2 linked regions of the Coturnix japonica genome follow. The protein of the gene in region 1 interacts with the protein of each later gene in a biochemical or structural test. Links are inferred from orthologs where the notes say so. Each region holds a gene or a part of one and is shown on either strand. Other genes may lie near its edges.

Region 1 (7,590 bases):
GCAAAGCTGACTTAATGGGTTTGTACCTCTTTGTTACTGCCCATCCCGTAATTTTCCACTAAGCTGCACTGATTGTTTTCTTTGTTTCTGTGCTGATTGTGTCATTAATATGGTTCTGCTCAGCTCAGTGCTGAGGAATGAGGGGCTTGGTGGGAGCCTCGTTCACGTTGCTCTTGTAGGAGTATGTGTGGTGCTGTGGCTCCAGCTTCTCTGCAGGACAGGGATGTGATGGAGCACCTCTCCTCCCATGTGGTGCTGTCTTCCAGAAAGCTTGTTGGGTGCTGTATGTTCATGTTTAGTAAATGGACACAGTAGAGAAACTCACTGACAGGCTTGCATAAAGTGCAGCTGGCTTAAGAAGTGAAAATATTTATATGCTCCTTTCAAATGCTTGGATAGGAATTATAGAGATGGCTGGAATAGTGTTTGGGCTCTGCTGCAGGTGATATGGAAGGCAGCCTGTGGTGTCTGCTTTGGACACCTGACAATTCTGTGTGCTTCAAACATTTGAAGAGTGGGGTGTAGGTATAAACTTGCAAAGTAGTGAGATGTCCCCAGATGTACATCTTAGATGTAGCCTCTGTGAAACAAAATGGGTGGCTCCACTGTTGCAGCCTTCCATCGCTCGTGATGGTAAACGATGCTCTTCAGTAGAAGATTTCCTGCTTTCAGTTTATACAGACTGGCAATGTCCCTGGGAAGAGGAGCAGGTCAGCATACCTTGGGGCCACTTTGTTGGCTGTATACAAGCACCCTTCAAGTGGTGGATATGAAATCCTGTTTGTTTCTGCCACCTGTGGCTGCTTTCTGGAAGTCTTTAGTGGCCTGTGTTCCTTCTTTCACTGGTGCTATTTGCGTGGTGTCATGGAATGTACATGATATTGCTGAAAGCAGGAGCTGCCTGCACCTTCTCTGGGCTGCTCGGTGTTTGCAGAGCTGACTGAAGCATATTCACTTCTCCCTCTGTTTCTCAGGAACTCTTTGCGGAATTTGGGACCTTGAAGAAGGCAGCAGTGCACTACGACAGATCCGGACGCAGTCTAGGAACAGCAGATGTGCATTTTGAAAGGAAAGCAGATGCTCTGAAAGCTATGAAGCAGTACAATGGAGTCCCCTTGGATGGTGAGTCTCTGTGGCTGTCGTGTGCTTCTCTGCACGGCTGATGGCATCTGTGTGCCTGCCACACTCACAGGGTAACTGGCTGCTTTTCCTGCAGGGCGCCCCATGAACATTCAGCTGGTTACATCACAGATAGATACACAGAGGAGACCAGCACAGAGGTGAGAAGCCGCGGGAGTCGCTGTGCCAGTCAGCACGGGGAGTGAACTGGCCTGTGTAGGAAGCATGGAATCCTCCTCGTGTCCTGCAACCTTCTGAGTGCCTGTTGGGGTTAACCAGAATGCACTATAACAGTTGCTTTTTAAAAATCACAGTGTAAACAGAGGTGGAATGACCAGAAACCGTGGTGGTACAGGAGGATTTGGTGGTGGAGGTACCAGGCGAGGTAGTCGTGGTGGGAGCAGAGGGAGAGGCAGAGGGGCTGGAAGAACTTCCAAACAGCAGCTCTCTGCAGAAGAACTAGATGCACAGCTGGATGCTTACAATGCCAGGGTAAGTGCTGCTCACATGATGGTCACGGGTACCTACAGCGTCCTTTTGATAAACACTGGCAGCTGGCTGGAAAGAGAAATTGTTTTTCAGGTCATTTGACTTAAATAGCCTCCCTCTAAAGCTGAGCATTGCCCTGTTCCTTCAGCTGCCTTAGCTCTCCACATCTACTGTTACTCATGAGTAATAAATAGCCCCTTTTCCAACTTCTCCTGGCTTGTTGAAGCCTGTGTCAACCAGAATTGGCAGTAATCAAGATGTGTGATGAACGAAAGCTATGAACCAAAGCCCAAAGGGATAATAGGCTGGAAAAATGAAAAGCAAAAAGAAAAAACACATAAAATAACCAGCTTGGTGCTAAGAAAGGAAAAAAAGTCAATGATGCTGATCACCCCTAATGCAGGTGGATGAGCAGAGCAGTGCACATGGTTTCTTTCATTCAGAATGAGCTCAGATATTGTGCCACAACAAGACTAAAGTCTTAACTGAGAATCAGTTAAGAAGTGATGCAGGGACTTGGCCCAAGCACTGAGGTGCAGTTTAGGTCTGCTCAGTGTGTGCTGTGGATTGGGCTGCATCTCCGCCATTGAGGCAGCAGCATCCTGGGGTTGGCAGGCAGGGCTGGGGGGTGTCAGGGTTGGGGATGGAGCTGGGGGGTTGTGGGGCCATGGTGGGTTGTGGGGTCATGGTGGGTTATGGGGCCGTGGTGGGTTATGGGGCCATGGTGGGTTATGGGGTCATGGTGGCTGCTGACGCTCCTCTCTGTTCTCTTCCAGATGGACACCAGCTAAAGCGTTGAGCGGCGCATGGAAGGACTGCAGACATCTCATTCCATGCTGTGTGGCGGGAGGGGTGTGCGACTGTGGCTACTAATATCAAGGATGGGATTTGTTTTACTTTTATGTTTTGGAATAGGTTTTAAACTCATGTAAAGGTTTTTTTTAATTCTGAAGCCAGACCCGTTTTGTACCGAGTTATTTTTGGGATAAATTTTACTGGTTGCCTGTTGGGCCGAGGTGGCTTTTTCACCTTTGCCGTAATAAAATAGAACCGTGTCTAGAGCTCCGCCTGCTCCCTGCCGCGCGCTCCTTTCCCGCGCCCGCGCTGCGCGGCGAACGCGCGCGTACTCCCTGAGCCAATCAGAACGCAGCGTCGAGGCAGGAAGTGAGGAGCGGGACACGCCCTCGTATAACGGGAAGTGACGGGCGTGTCCCGGAAGTGCGGGGGTGCGCGGGCGGCTGGGCGGATCCCGGCGGCGTTGGACCGCGGCGCGGACGGTGAGAGCGGCCGGGACGGCGGGACCGGGCGGGGCGGGGCCAAGGGAGCGGGGCGGGGGGCGCCGGGATCCGCCATGTGCGCTGCGGCCGGGCCGGGTCCCGCGGGCTCAGCGCCACGCCAGGGTCCGGGGCGCGGCCGAGGGGGCAGCGGGCGCCGTCCGGGTGCGCGGCGGGGAGCGGAGCGAAGAGCGGCGCCTTCGTGCCTTGAGGCCGCCCCGGCCGCCGCTGTCGGACCGGAGCCGGGTGGGGACCCGCTGGCTTCAAATAGATTCTCCATAAATGGTTTCGAGCTTTGAAAGGAGGAACTTGAAGGCGACTTCCCCACGGTTGGGTTCGTTTGGCGTTAGAGCCGAGACGTCGGTGCAGCACCGGGTGCAGGATGGAGGATGGAGCGGCAGTGAGCGCTGTCCGGGCTGCGGGGCCTCATGGCCGTGCCGGAAGGATGGTGCCGTTTCCCTGCCTGGGCGGGCGCGTTGCGTGAAGCCGTGACTTCCTTCTCTTAAAGAGCTCTCGGTTGTAGCACTCAATTATCGCTGTGAGAGCTTCAGGTCCCGGCCGTAGTGCTCTATATAGTGCTCTATGGGCTCGGTTCTCTTGCAGTGGTCCCGTTCTTGTCCCAGAGATGCTGAGTGGCGGCCGCTTCCACGTGGTGCCCAGGAGACATTTGCAGCTCCTGCAGTGTGGTCGTGCTGTAGCTCTGCAGTCGTTGTACTTACAGGTGCATAGTGCTCACCGTGCAGCTTGTTTGAGTACGAGGCTGCAAGGGCTTCTTAAATCCGATAAGCAGTGGGAGCTGTCTGCTCGTTCTCGGGTGATGCTCGTGGCAGGTGATACCTGCAGGTGTTGTGCAGTGCAGGGCAGTGTCACCAGCACGGTGCACAACTGCGGATCTGGCTGCAGAGCACCTGGCAGCAGCTGCTGTGCGACCCACAGCTCCTCCCCACGCCTGGAGCTGTGACAGGGATCAGCCTTAGGGCAAGGCGGGAGATCTCCATGCTCATAAAGCAGCTCAGCAATGCTGTGGGAGCACCCAGCGCTGTGCTCCTGAGGCTAAACCTGCCTGCAGGCAGCACTGGGGGGGGGTCACTGCTCTGCTGCTGCCACGCAATTAGACCTGGCTCTGGGCAAGCTCACGTCTGGCCCCTCGAGCTGCCATCATACGGGGTGTCTGTGCTGCTTGAACTGGTTTTAGCAGCTCTTGCTTCCTGTTTCTGCAGCACAGCAGCTTATGCAGCCCTGAGATGAACCAGGGTGGTTGAACCGACCTGTGTGGGAAGTAACCTTGCAGAAAGCCACATTGGATTCCAAGTGGCTTTGCTGTGCAGCTTCATCAGCTTTCCCTTGTGCTGCAGCGAAAAAAGGAAGGGTGTGGACTGCTTGAATTGGCGCTGTGTGTGTCCGTGGCTGAGCTGAGGCCTGACGGATGTCCGAAGCCAATTAGGTCATCTGTAAAGACTCTGACCACTCTTATGTCACTGCACAAGTACCTTGGGATCGTGGCCCTGGCATGTAAAGAAATCACTGCTCATCCCTGCCTGATAACGGTGTTCTTTTCCTAGCAGTGTTTCTATCTGGCAGAAGGTGGGGCTCGTGTGTTCACTGCTGTTCGCTCCTTGGTATCGAACTAAAAATACTGAGAGAACTCAGGAGAAACTGCTGACTTCAGGAAGCGGCGCAGGCAGCTGAGTGCAGATCTGCAGATGGGAAATAATTTGGTTTCTGCTGCTTTCTGCAGGCCCCAGTAACCAGCAGAGCTTCCATTTCCAGACATTCTGGGACATCCCTGAGGCCGCAGTGCTCTCCTGTGGTTGAGTGCAGGGTGGCACAGAGGCAGCAGCTGCACTGTTCTGTGAGCCAGGTGTGTCTGCAGTCAGAGCCATGGGCTCGGGCGGTGCCGCACAGGGTGTGCAGGTGCCTTCCGGGTTTCAAAGTTGCTGAGGGGGAATTCCTTGCAGAGGCCTTGGGGTGGTGCCTGGGTGTGAGGCTCAGGGCTGAAGGTGCCATTGCTGCTGGAGGTTGGTGTTCTGGGAGGTTTCAGTCACGAGGCTGAGCCCTCTGAAGGGGTTGTGGCCTCAGGTCCCCGTTCCTCTGCCCCCACCTCTGCAGCAGCATGTGCTGGAGCCATGATCCTACAGGACGTTGGGCATGGCATGAGATGGATGCCCGACCCAGTGTTCCAGTGTGTTGAGTCCCTCAGCTCTGCTCTGCCTAGCAGTACGACAGCTCCTCCTGCATGCACCCGACCAGCTCTGTTCTACTCATTCTAGGCTGTAGGAAATGCATTGTTATAGAAGCACGGAGCAGCCTGATGCTGCTGGGAGCCTCCTTTCTCCCTGGCAGAATACTCAGGGCAGCAGCTGAGCACTGTGATGTGAGGCTGCACAATGCTGTGTGCTGGGAGCAGGGTCAGCCGGGCGCAGTGGGAGCACGATGCCATCAGAACACTGCAGCAGAGGGGCTGTGGTGCAGCCAGCTCCATGAGGCTCCTCCAGGCCTCGCTGCACATTTTTCCTGTGCTTCCTTGCAGAGCTGAGACCCAGCCTGTCTTGAGCTGCTGTTTGGAACATTGCTTGCTGTTTCTGGTAACTTTGGGTCAGTTTGAAGAGCCACTTTTCACCCATGGACTTCCATGGGGTGCTCGTGGGGGAGGGAGGGGAGGGGTGAAGTCTGGCTTGGAGCTGAAACTGAGGGCAAAATGAGATTAAGCACTGGAACAAATGCTTGAGTGAGTGTTTGTTGAACACTTTTGGGAGCCTTCAAGCCTGGAAGCTTTCTTGGATGGGAGCCTAAAGGAAATGACTGGTTTCGATATGGATTTTCTAGGGTGAGAGCTACTCGGTTGCTCATGTATGGCATAAGATTTGAATGTAAATTTCCATGGCAATCAGTGCCAGGGACCTGGAGAATCCCTTTCTGCTGGTAGAGCTCAGTCAGGTTTTGATGCCCGCTGCAAGTACCCTTTGTGCACCCATGTTGGTGCCCCAGCCTCCCTGGGAGGTGCTGCCAGCCCAGGGCAGCTCAGATTTGCTCTTGTGTTTGGCTGGGGGTTCACCCACACGGGATCTGACAGCACCTCATCTCAGTGCCAGCATTGAGCTACAGCCCTGGTGCTGTGCTGGAGGCCGCTCTCATACCCTGGATCAGCCATAGTCATCAGGCAGAGATGTGCAACATATCACTCTAATTTGTCTCCTTGGCAGAACATTCCTAATATTTATGGCTAAAAACACCATCTACACATACCTCTGCTGTTGTGCTCTTGCAGCTGTCGCCAGGCTCAAGATGGAGGCAGACACAACTTGTCTTGTGTCACTGCACAATGTGCTCTGTGAGCTGTGTGTGCTCAGTGCCAGCGCTCAGGTTTTTCTCTCCCTGTCTGGGTGACACATTGGGTAGGAATGAAGTCGTTGAGTTAAGGGCTGTTATGTCAGCTAGTTCCAAGAGGAGAAGAGCAAATAGCAGTTGGCTTACGTAGCATAGCCTGTGCTGCAGACTTTGGGTTTTCCTTTACAAGTCAGCATTTCTGGATGTATCCTGGTCTTCTGTGGGGGCACGTGGAGATCAGAATTAAGATCATAGTGTTGATTTATTTGGAAACTGGATGGCAGAGCAAAGAATGCAGTTTTCCAGTCTGAGTCATGTGTGCTGATACACGACTCCAGACAGGAATGCAGAATGGGACGTGGAAATGCCAGGTAATAACGGGAATACCTGCATCCATCTGCACGTCATTTGTGGAGGATTTTGTCTGAGAAGCCTTTCAAAAGTTGTCAGCTGAGTGTTTTTAAGCCCTCAGAGCAGTCCAAGCTGATGTTTGCTGTAGGATCACCCGTAGGGCAGCACTCCTTGTGATGCATCAGGAATTACTGACACTTTTTCCTGGTGTTTTGATGGCTGTTGGACCAGCTCTCAGCTGGGTGTTTCCTGGTTACACTGTGCTCTGGGGCTTACAAAGCAGTGCCAATCTACACACCGGTCTTCAACCCATGTGTTTGCCCAGCTCTGTGACACATATCTTTGGAAAGGATCAGGATGAGGTCAGCTGAGCCAGGTGTCTCCTTCCATTGTAGATTCTGATTGAATTACAAACTGTGAGCTCCAGATTGCAGCTGAGGCTTCTGGCATTTGGGCCAGCGGTGGGGCTGGGCCTGTTCTTCTCCTCACCAGGTTGTACTATGGAGAAGCAGAACTGAACTGGGTTTATTCTGGGCTCAAGCTGATTGCAAGTGAAAGCATCACTGAGCTGTTCATGTGGAGGAGTTGTTTTTTTCTATGGCGTGGGCTATTTCTCTGTTGCAGCTGCTGAACAAAGCACAGAGGCTGATTACTTTTCCCAATCCTCTTGTAAGGGCTGAAAATGGGATCTTGGCTGCCGAGGGCAGGCTGGGGGGGGCACAGGTCCTTGACAGCAATGTGCCTCTGGAGTGGGGAACCTGGTGGGAGAGGGACCTGTGGAGTCAGGGCTGTTTTGGGATGGCTGGTTTATGCCAATATGCAGCAGATAGCTACAGTTAAACGTCTCCTCCCTGCTTCAGTGTAACTCGCGTGTGTGAAGATGGCAGAGCAGGAGCCAACAGCAGAGCAGCTGGCCCAAATCGCAGCTGAGAATGAGGAGGACGAACACTCCGTCAACTATAAGCCACCTGCCCAGAAGAGCATCCAGGAGATCCAGGAGTTGGACAAGGATGATGAGAGTCTGCGCAAG
Region 2 (7,888 bases), on another chromosome or scaffold:
CCCTCTTTTAACTTAAAACCATTTCCCCGTGTCCTGCTATTGTCAGCCCTTTCGAAGAGTTTACTCCCCTCCTGGGTGTAGGTTCCCTTCAGGTATTGAAAGGCTGCAATGAGGTCACCCCGCAACCTTCTCTTCTCTAGGCTGAACAAGCCCAATATAATGAAATAATATAACAAAAATATTTGATGGAAAGAAAGCAAATATCACCACCAGGCAAAACACTGTCATCTCCACTATTATCACGGCAGTAGGAGCTCACTTCTGCCATTTACATGTACCCAATTTACACTTAGTGGACACAATCATTTTGGCTCTCATTGAGCTTTTTGCTCTGATGCAGTTGATGACATGTCCAGTTTTATCATCACCCCTATTCCACACCAGCTCCGTGGTGCTGTGGGTGCAGAGCTGCTGCAGCTCCCCAGGCCTCGAGGCCTTCACGGCACGTGCTGCTGTGATCCATCTCCGCAGTGAGTCACCACAGGGTCAGCTGCCGCGCATCACAACCCAAACAGAAATTCTCTTCAAATGAACAACTGAGATTTCAATTCATTTAACAACATAGCAGCTCCATTTTTTGCAATCATTATCATCCATGTTCCCAGTTATGCCACGGAAGCCAACAAATAAAGCAATTGTTGAGAGACGACAAAGAAAGCTTTATCCAGAAAGCGATGGTGCAGAAAGTGCACGATGCCAAAATTCTGACAGATAATTTATGCAGCAGCTGTTTTCAAAAGGAACATTCATGCACACAGCGCGGGGCAGGGGGCAGGTGAGGAGGGGACAGGGGGCCTGAGATGATGGAAAACGGAGCCTCAGCATCAGCAGGGCCCTGTGTGACAGCGCAGGGCCTACCTCTAGAAGTCACTTCTCAGGGTGCTCCACAGGCTTCGAGCTCTCAGCACCTGCCTGCACATACACAGAATCACAGAATGACCCGGGTTGGAAGGGACCTCCAGGATCATGTAGTTCCAACCCCCCTGCCTGGCAGGGCCACCAAACATACACCTTTACTAGATCAGGTTGCCCAGGGCCCTGTCCAACATTGGTCTTGAAGCACTCAAGGACGGGCATCCAACTCCCTGGGCAGACTGTTCAGGGCCTAACCATCTCTAGTGAAGACTTCCCTATACATCCACTAACTTTCCCTCTTTTACACTTAAATACCATTTCCCCGTGTCTGCCTATTGTAGCTTTCGAAGAGTTTACCCTCCGGGAGTAAGTTCCCTTCAGGTAATTGAAAGGTGCAATGGCGGTCACCGCCACCTTTCTCTTCTCCAGGCTGAACAATCCAACTTCCTCAGCCTGTTCTATTAGGGGGGAAGGTGTCCAGCCTGATCATGCTTCGTTGGCCCCTCTCTGGACCTTTCCATAAATCTCATGTATTTTTGTACTGAGGGGTCCACAACGGTACACAGGTACTCCAGAGGGGCTCACAGAGTGAGTAGAGAGAGACATACAGATGGCAGGAACCACAGAGTTTCAGCCCACAAACAGCAGCTCACCATTTATAGGAACTTGTTTATCATAAACACACTTTTTCTTTGCAGTCTTGAAGCATTGCAATTGTTGTGATCTCCAACAGCTTTACGTGCAGCAATAGGAAACTTACAGGCCACCGTACTCACCCGCTTGGCCTCAGCTTTCTGCCAAAGCCTCTGTTCTAGCATAGCCTATGGGCACTAACCTTCACGATGTAACATCCTTGAACACACTGGTGAGGTCCAATAAAGCTGTGGGCATTCACACAGGCCTGTATCTATGTGCACCTGTCAGTCAAGTAAGGAGACACCTACACAACTGTCTGAATTGCAGGCAGACCACAGTGAAACCAGGACAAGCAACGCTCCAGGAATAGGAATAAAATGAAAAATCTACATTCTGTAAATAAAACATCATAACAATTTTAAAAAAGAAGAGATGTGACTAGTGCCAGATACTACAGAGTTCTACATAGCAATACTTGGAGTATCGTACCTTAACCTCCTCAAAAGAACACCATTTCCCTACTCCCACCATACCTGACTTGCTGATTGTCCGAATATAGTTCCTATATAACCAGGACAATTGTTCTGCTTTAAACATATTCAAGCAGACCATTTGGAAGATGCAGCTGCTTTCTTTTCTTCCCAAAACCAACTTGGGAGAAAAATTACAAGAACTTCAGAAGTACTAATGAGAACTGGGCAGCAGCCAGCACAGTAGTTAAACAGACAGGAACACGGAACAGCCAAATGAGTTTATGCAACGTTGAAGTTAGTGGCAGATGTGTTAAACAACTCACATATTAAGCTTAATAAATATAAACTGTCATCTTAACTTCAGTTTTTTGCTTAAGGCACCCAGTCAACATCTCGATGCGTTCTACAACAACACCACACAGACTTGCCATGCAGTCTTCCCTATGTATGTTGGATACAGAAGTAAAAAATGGAAATGAAGTGCGACTGACACAAGTACTCTATTGTTTTAAAGGTGAGAAACTTGTCTAGAAATAGGACTAGCAAGGAATGTGGCATAACTGAAACCCTGGGTAAGTCCCATTCAAGAACCAGAGGTTGTGTTTATGAATACATGGTGCAGGTCCCTTTAGGACTAGTTCCATAAAGCACAGGGAAAGCGCCCTCACATACATCACCTCCATACACCTTGAGTTCTTAATCAAAGCGCTCCTTGCTTGAGTCAGTGTAATAACTGAACTACGTGACTTGAAGGTTTCATTTCACAGAGTAATTAATAAACCGAAAGAGAAAGTTATTTAATTCAAAGCAGAGCCAAGAATAAGCCTCGCTGCTAGAGTTACCCAAAGATTCAGCTCTTCAATGCAGAAAACAGTTTCCTGAGGTACCTCCAACTCTGGGAAAAGCTCATGAGACACAACCGGGTGCTGCTTTAATGCACAGTATCTTTGGACAATCAGGTCTTTCTTCACAACTTAGCATAAAGTTTTGGTTACATTTACAAACTTGAAAATCCTCCCTTTCCTCTACACCCACATGCTTTTAAGGCAATACAAAGCGATAGGACGGCTTTGATGTTTTTAACACATCCAATACAAAAGCTGCAAATGCCTTGAACAACTTCCCTTTAACCCCTGCCAACACAAGGGCTCCTTCTTAAAAAGCTGAGCAGCAATTGAAGATCTCCCGAAGAATAAAGCCGAATAAAGCGCGTACTATCCCCACAATGGCTGAAATCACTTCATTTGCTCTATTGACAACGAACTGCTCCCAGAACTTCAATTTTCATTCCTAACCCAACCTCAATCATTACTGCATGGACAGATTCTCACCACAGATGCAGTGAGCTTCTCAGTCCACAGTTCCCTTTGCACACATCTGCAAGGCCGGCAACGCTCCCTACTGTGATGGCAACAGCAAGAGACCAGAGCTCTTTCTGTTCTCCCTCCAGCCACTTCCATACCGTTTCTTTCAGTCAGTACCCAAGGAGAACTCTCTGGACAGCTCCTGACGTGTCACATCGCGTCCCTTTCCACGTGGGTGTTTTTTTTAACGCTGACTACGGTACTTCGGCCCAACCTGAGAGAAGAGCTGTGTCACTTCGGCCACAAAAGCTGGAAACGTGCACCGCCTTTGTGATGCCGCCGCCGGGAGGCCGACTTAATCTGGGCACACCGCCGTTTATTTTTCTCACGCAGCCCCTCTCCTGCTGAATCGATAGCTCAATACAGACGAGACTTAGAACAGCGCCTATCGCTGCCCCGTTACCCACCGCAGCTCCACGCCCCCGCCGACGCAGCGCTGCAGAGCGGAGCCCACGCACCCAGAGCTGCGGCACCGCGCGTGGGCAGCGCCGTGACACATGGCGAGGGGCCGAGCGCGGCGTGGGGACACCTCCGGCTCCTGACTCAGCGTCACACGCACGGAACGAAGCCGAGATCAGACTCTTAACTCCCACAACTCAAAAAGAAAAGTGGCGGGAAGGCTGTGCCCTGAAAAGGCGTAACGCCAAATATTTGGCTGATGGGAAGTGACAGCCCCGCTGCAGCCCACGGCCGGTTCGCTGCTTAGGGAGCCGAAGGAGTCATTTTCCACGCGGGATTGAGAGAAGCGGCGCAGCGCTGCAGGCAGCTCGCTGCCCTCCCCGCTTAAAGCGAAAGGTGAACGGGAAGCGCCCACGGCCCGCGCAGAGCGTGAAGCCGGGCACCAACAAGGCACAAAGGCTCATTGAGAAAACGCCGAGCCGTGACGTCGGCGGCACTCGAGGGACTGCTTCAAGTGTCCATTTGTTGGAAACAATAGACAGCAACAGATGCTCGCGCTCCTTTATGAAGCCATCCCTTATCGCTCCGCACGCAAGCCGCACATGGCCGCGCAGCCATGAATAATGCAGCGGCAGCTCCCGCACCCCGCACCCGGCTCCCTCCGAGGGGCGGCGGGTCGGAGCCCTCACGGCTCGCAATGCCGGCCCGTCTCGAGGCCCGCGCCCCCGCCGAGCTCACCTGGGGCTGCCGCTCCCCCCGGCGTCGGGAGGGGACGAGGCTCGGGAACGGCGACCGAGATGCTCGATGACGGGCGTTTCCCGCCCGCCGCGCAGCTCCCCCTGGCAGCGGGGCAGGTTGCCGCTGCGGGGGCCGCCCGCGCTGCTCGCGGCGGAACGAGTGTCGGAGCGCGGCGGGCGCTGACAGCTCCGCAATATGGCGGCCCAGGCCGCCGTTGCAGATTTTCCCCCTATCAGATTTTGCGGCTCGGGACGCGGCGCGCAGGCGGTGGACAGGAACGCGCGTGGCGCTGGGCGGAGCGAAGTCTGTGCCCGGAGCCCGCGGAGCGGAAGGGAGCTGAGCGGGTTGTGCGGCTCCTCCCCGCAGCCTCAGGGCGCCGCTGGGGGAGGGATGAGTTTGTGAGGGGGGTCGGAAGGAGGCGGGAAATCCCGTATGGGATTATTGCTCTGAGGTCACGGCTTTCGTGCTGATAGAGTGTGATAAAGCTCTTTTTAAAGATATGGAGATTTTTGGAAAGGGTCCAGAGGAGGGCCACAAAGATGATCAGGGGGCTGGAGCACCTCCCCTATGAGGACAGGCTGAGGGAGTTGGGTTTGTTCAGCTGGAGAAGAGAAGGTTGCGAGGTGACATTGCAGCCTTTCAGTACCTGAAGGGAACTTACTCCCAGGAGGGGAGTAAACTCTTCAAAAGGGCTGACAATAGCAGGACACAGGAAATGGTTTTAAGCTAAAAGAGGGAAGATTTAGGTTGGATGTTAGGGGGAAGTTCTTCACTAGGAAGAGTGGTAGGCCTGGAAGACGGCTGCCCAGGGAGGTTGTGGATGCCCCGTCCTTGGAGGTGTTCAAGACCAGGTTGGTTTGGGCCCTGGGCAACCTGATCTAGTAAAGGTGTATGTTTGGTGGCCCTGCCAGGCAGGGGGTTGGAACTACATGATCCTTGAGGTCCCTTCCAACCCGGGTCATTCTGTGATTCTGTGATTTCAAATCTGCATTATCACTTTAGGATATGCCTTATCTCTGGTCCTGTTGCACAAAGAATAATATTCCTCAAACAAACAAACAAAAAAAAAACCAGTCACGTAAATAATAATCTTATCTTACCTCGTTAACAGTATAATGTGGTTTTCTTCTCACTTCGCTTCCTTAACAAGGTGTAAAGTTGCAGTTTGCCTGATAAAGCAGGGCAGTAAAAACAAAAGTGCAGTTAGTGTTTGAACTGTTTAGTCATGAAATTGAAACTACAGAAGGAGCTACGGTCAATAAAGAGCTTTCAGATATCCAGATCAACTTGAATTACAGTTCTTTAAGCGGTGGGTTATAAAGTTACTGATAAGAGCGCTGTAACTGTGAGATATAAAAGTTTATCTCCCAGCAGTAATGCCAACATACAGCGCTTCATTAAAAGTCATATTCTGAGCTTTCAGTGCCCTATCTGAGGAATCAATGCTACAATCAATTCTGACAGGAAAGGCTTCCAAGCCAATGCATCTTATTTCTAGTCTACCTGCAAAGATAGAAAGCATTGGTCAGTGAATACCCAACTGTGAGTAGTTAGATGTCACTTATGTTAATGCTAAATGTGCAATCCAAGGGATGTTTACTGGGCAACACGTTTTGGAAAGGAGAACTGAAAAATAAGTAACCTTGAGGAATTATTATTATTTTTTTTCCATGTTAAATGTTAGGCGGTGCACTTTTACATGTAATTCAATCAAGATTTGTGCCATCAGCTGCATAGAACTGTGGCTCTACCCATATCTCGCCACCAACATGAGAAGTTATACATGGATTTGTCTACAAGTCTGGAACTCAGCCACTCTTTCTGGGAAAGTGTGTGCCTATGACTCAGTACACACATACTTATCTATTAATATGTTTGCAGAAGCAAACCTCACATCATAAAAATATATTGCAGGGTAATTCAGCTGTTACTAATTGTATGGCCTAAAAGCAAATTGTTTAATGTTTTGTTAATATTTGAATATAACGGGGTTTTTTTATCTTAACATGTATCGATAACGTTTCTTTTTTTCAACAACTGTTGCCCCTTAGAGTTTCTGCTGGAAAGAAATGGAACTGAAGGAATTTTGTGGTCGTTAGATGAATCCAATTCATAGAGATTTAAAATACTTGGTTAAATTACAGTAAATGTCTGAAGTAATAGGTTGTACTTTTTATGTCTGATGTTAAGTTTATCTGTCATTTAAAGTTAAATGTATCCAATTCCAGAAAGTACTGAATTTCAGTAAAAATACAAGGATTCCAGTAACTGTGCTGGATATTCCACATTCCCTTTATTGAGTATATTGATGTAGTCTCAGCTTTGATCAAGTTCAAAATGCCAACTGTGGTTTGGTTATGGGAAGAATTTGTCCTTTTTCTAGTGCTAGGAGTCCTGCAGTTTGCAGCACCTCTGCAGACATTTAATATTGATGGCCTCAGCTCCAGGAGGCAAGATATTCCCCTTCACAAGTGTTGTGATGAGGGAGGACAGCCCCGGTCTGCAATAAGTGGGGAAGGTGGAAGAGAGATTTTGCCTCCTCTTCAAGAGCACAGAAAACAGAAAGGACAAACCAGGACTCCAAAGCCTGGTCAGAACGCCTGTAAAACAGTACTTGGGATAATCTGCTAATGAACTGCTGTGTTGGCAGCTAGTTTGGTGTCAAGCGGTTCTGCCTTTTGTTTTAATAGCCTAGCTGAAGAGGCTTAACCTTTAACATTCACAGTGAGACTCTGCTGGCCAGCAGCCACCTTTACTGTTGAAAATCTGCAGAGTCGTTGGCAAAAGGTCTCTCCTGCAGACCAGTAAGTTCCTGCCAGTGAAAGACTTCAGGAAAGAACTGCTTCTCTTAATGGTTGTTGCTACTGCAAGCAGACAGGCTGTACTGTTTAGGACCAGGGTGAGTAAATAGCCTGAAAGCTTTACTAACACCTCACATATGATAACCTAATGACACATCTTTGTTTTCTCATAGGTATTTAGTCTCTGATACAGTGAAGATACTGCAGTGGAGGAAGCCTATCTCAAGGCCGAATTATATATATTATATATATATATCAGGGCCATGTATATAATATATATGATATATATTATATATACATATTATATATATATATATACATATATATAATGAATATGTGTATATATATATATAATATATATATATATTCTGCTCAAGACTGAACGTAATAAATTCACTGTAGAGGAGTGTGCGCATTTAACTGTGTCGGTTATGGCCTTAACAGTTCGTGTTAATCAGTACTTGTATCTCTGAGGTAGTAATTTGCTAACAAATTTTTCATACAAAATATGGATCACCCATTCATTATATTTCATCCATTATTCTAACCACCGTTATCACTGTATGGCTTTGTAACTGCTGATAACTGCACAAAGGGCACATTAACAAATTAAACTGCTTTG

Evidence for each region. The genes of interacting proteins can lie anywhere in the genome.
Region 2: the proteins of ARHGDIA (region 1) and RDX form a complex in vitro, tested with the Homo sapiens proteins (2 studies listed by BioGRID and IntAct). The link is inferred for Coturnix japonica from reciprocal best matches to the Homo sapiens genes ARHGDIA and RDX.

Annotation. Positions count from the first base shown.
Region 1 is NC_029533.1:4,448,558-4,456,147, forward strand, and holds the start of ARHGDIA (rho GDP-dissociation inhibitor 1), read left to right. Parts: upstream 1-2,767; 5' UTR 2,768-2,885; intron 2,886-7,420; 5' UTR 7,421-7,440; coding exon 7,441-7,590. Other genes in the region: ALYREF (THO complex subunit 4), read left to right, coding at 975-1,122, 1,217-1,280, 1,434-1,611, 2,385-2,399. UniProt on the Homo sapiens protein: Controls Rho proteins homeostasis. Regulates the GDP/GTP exchange reaction of the Rho proteins by inhibiting the dissociation of GDP from them, and the subsequent binding of GTP to them.
Region 2 is NC_029516.1:160,653,316-160,661,203, reverse strand, and holds the start of RDX (radixin), read right to left. Parts: upstream 4,619-7,888; 5' UTR 4,466-4,618; intron 3,446-4,465; exon of another isoform or gene 3,427-3,445; intron 1-3,426. UniProt on the Homo sapiens protein: Probably plays a crucial role in the binding of the barbed end of actin filaments to the plasma membrane.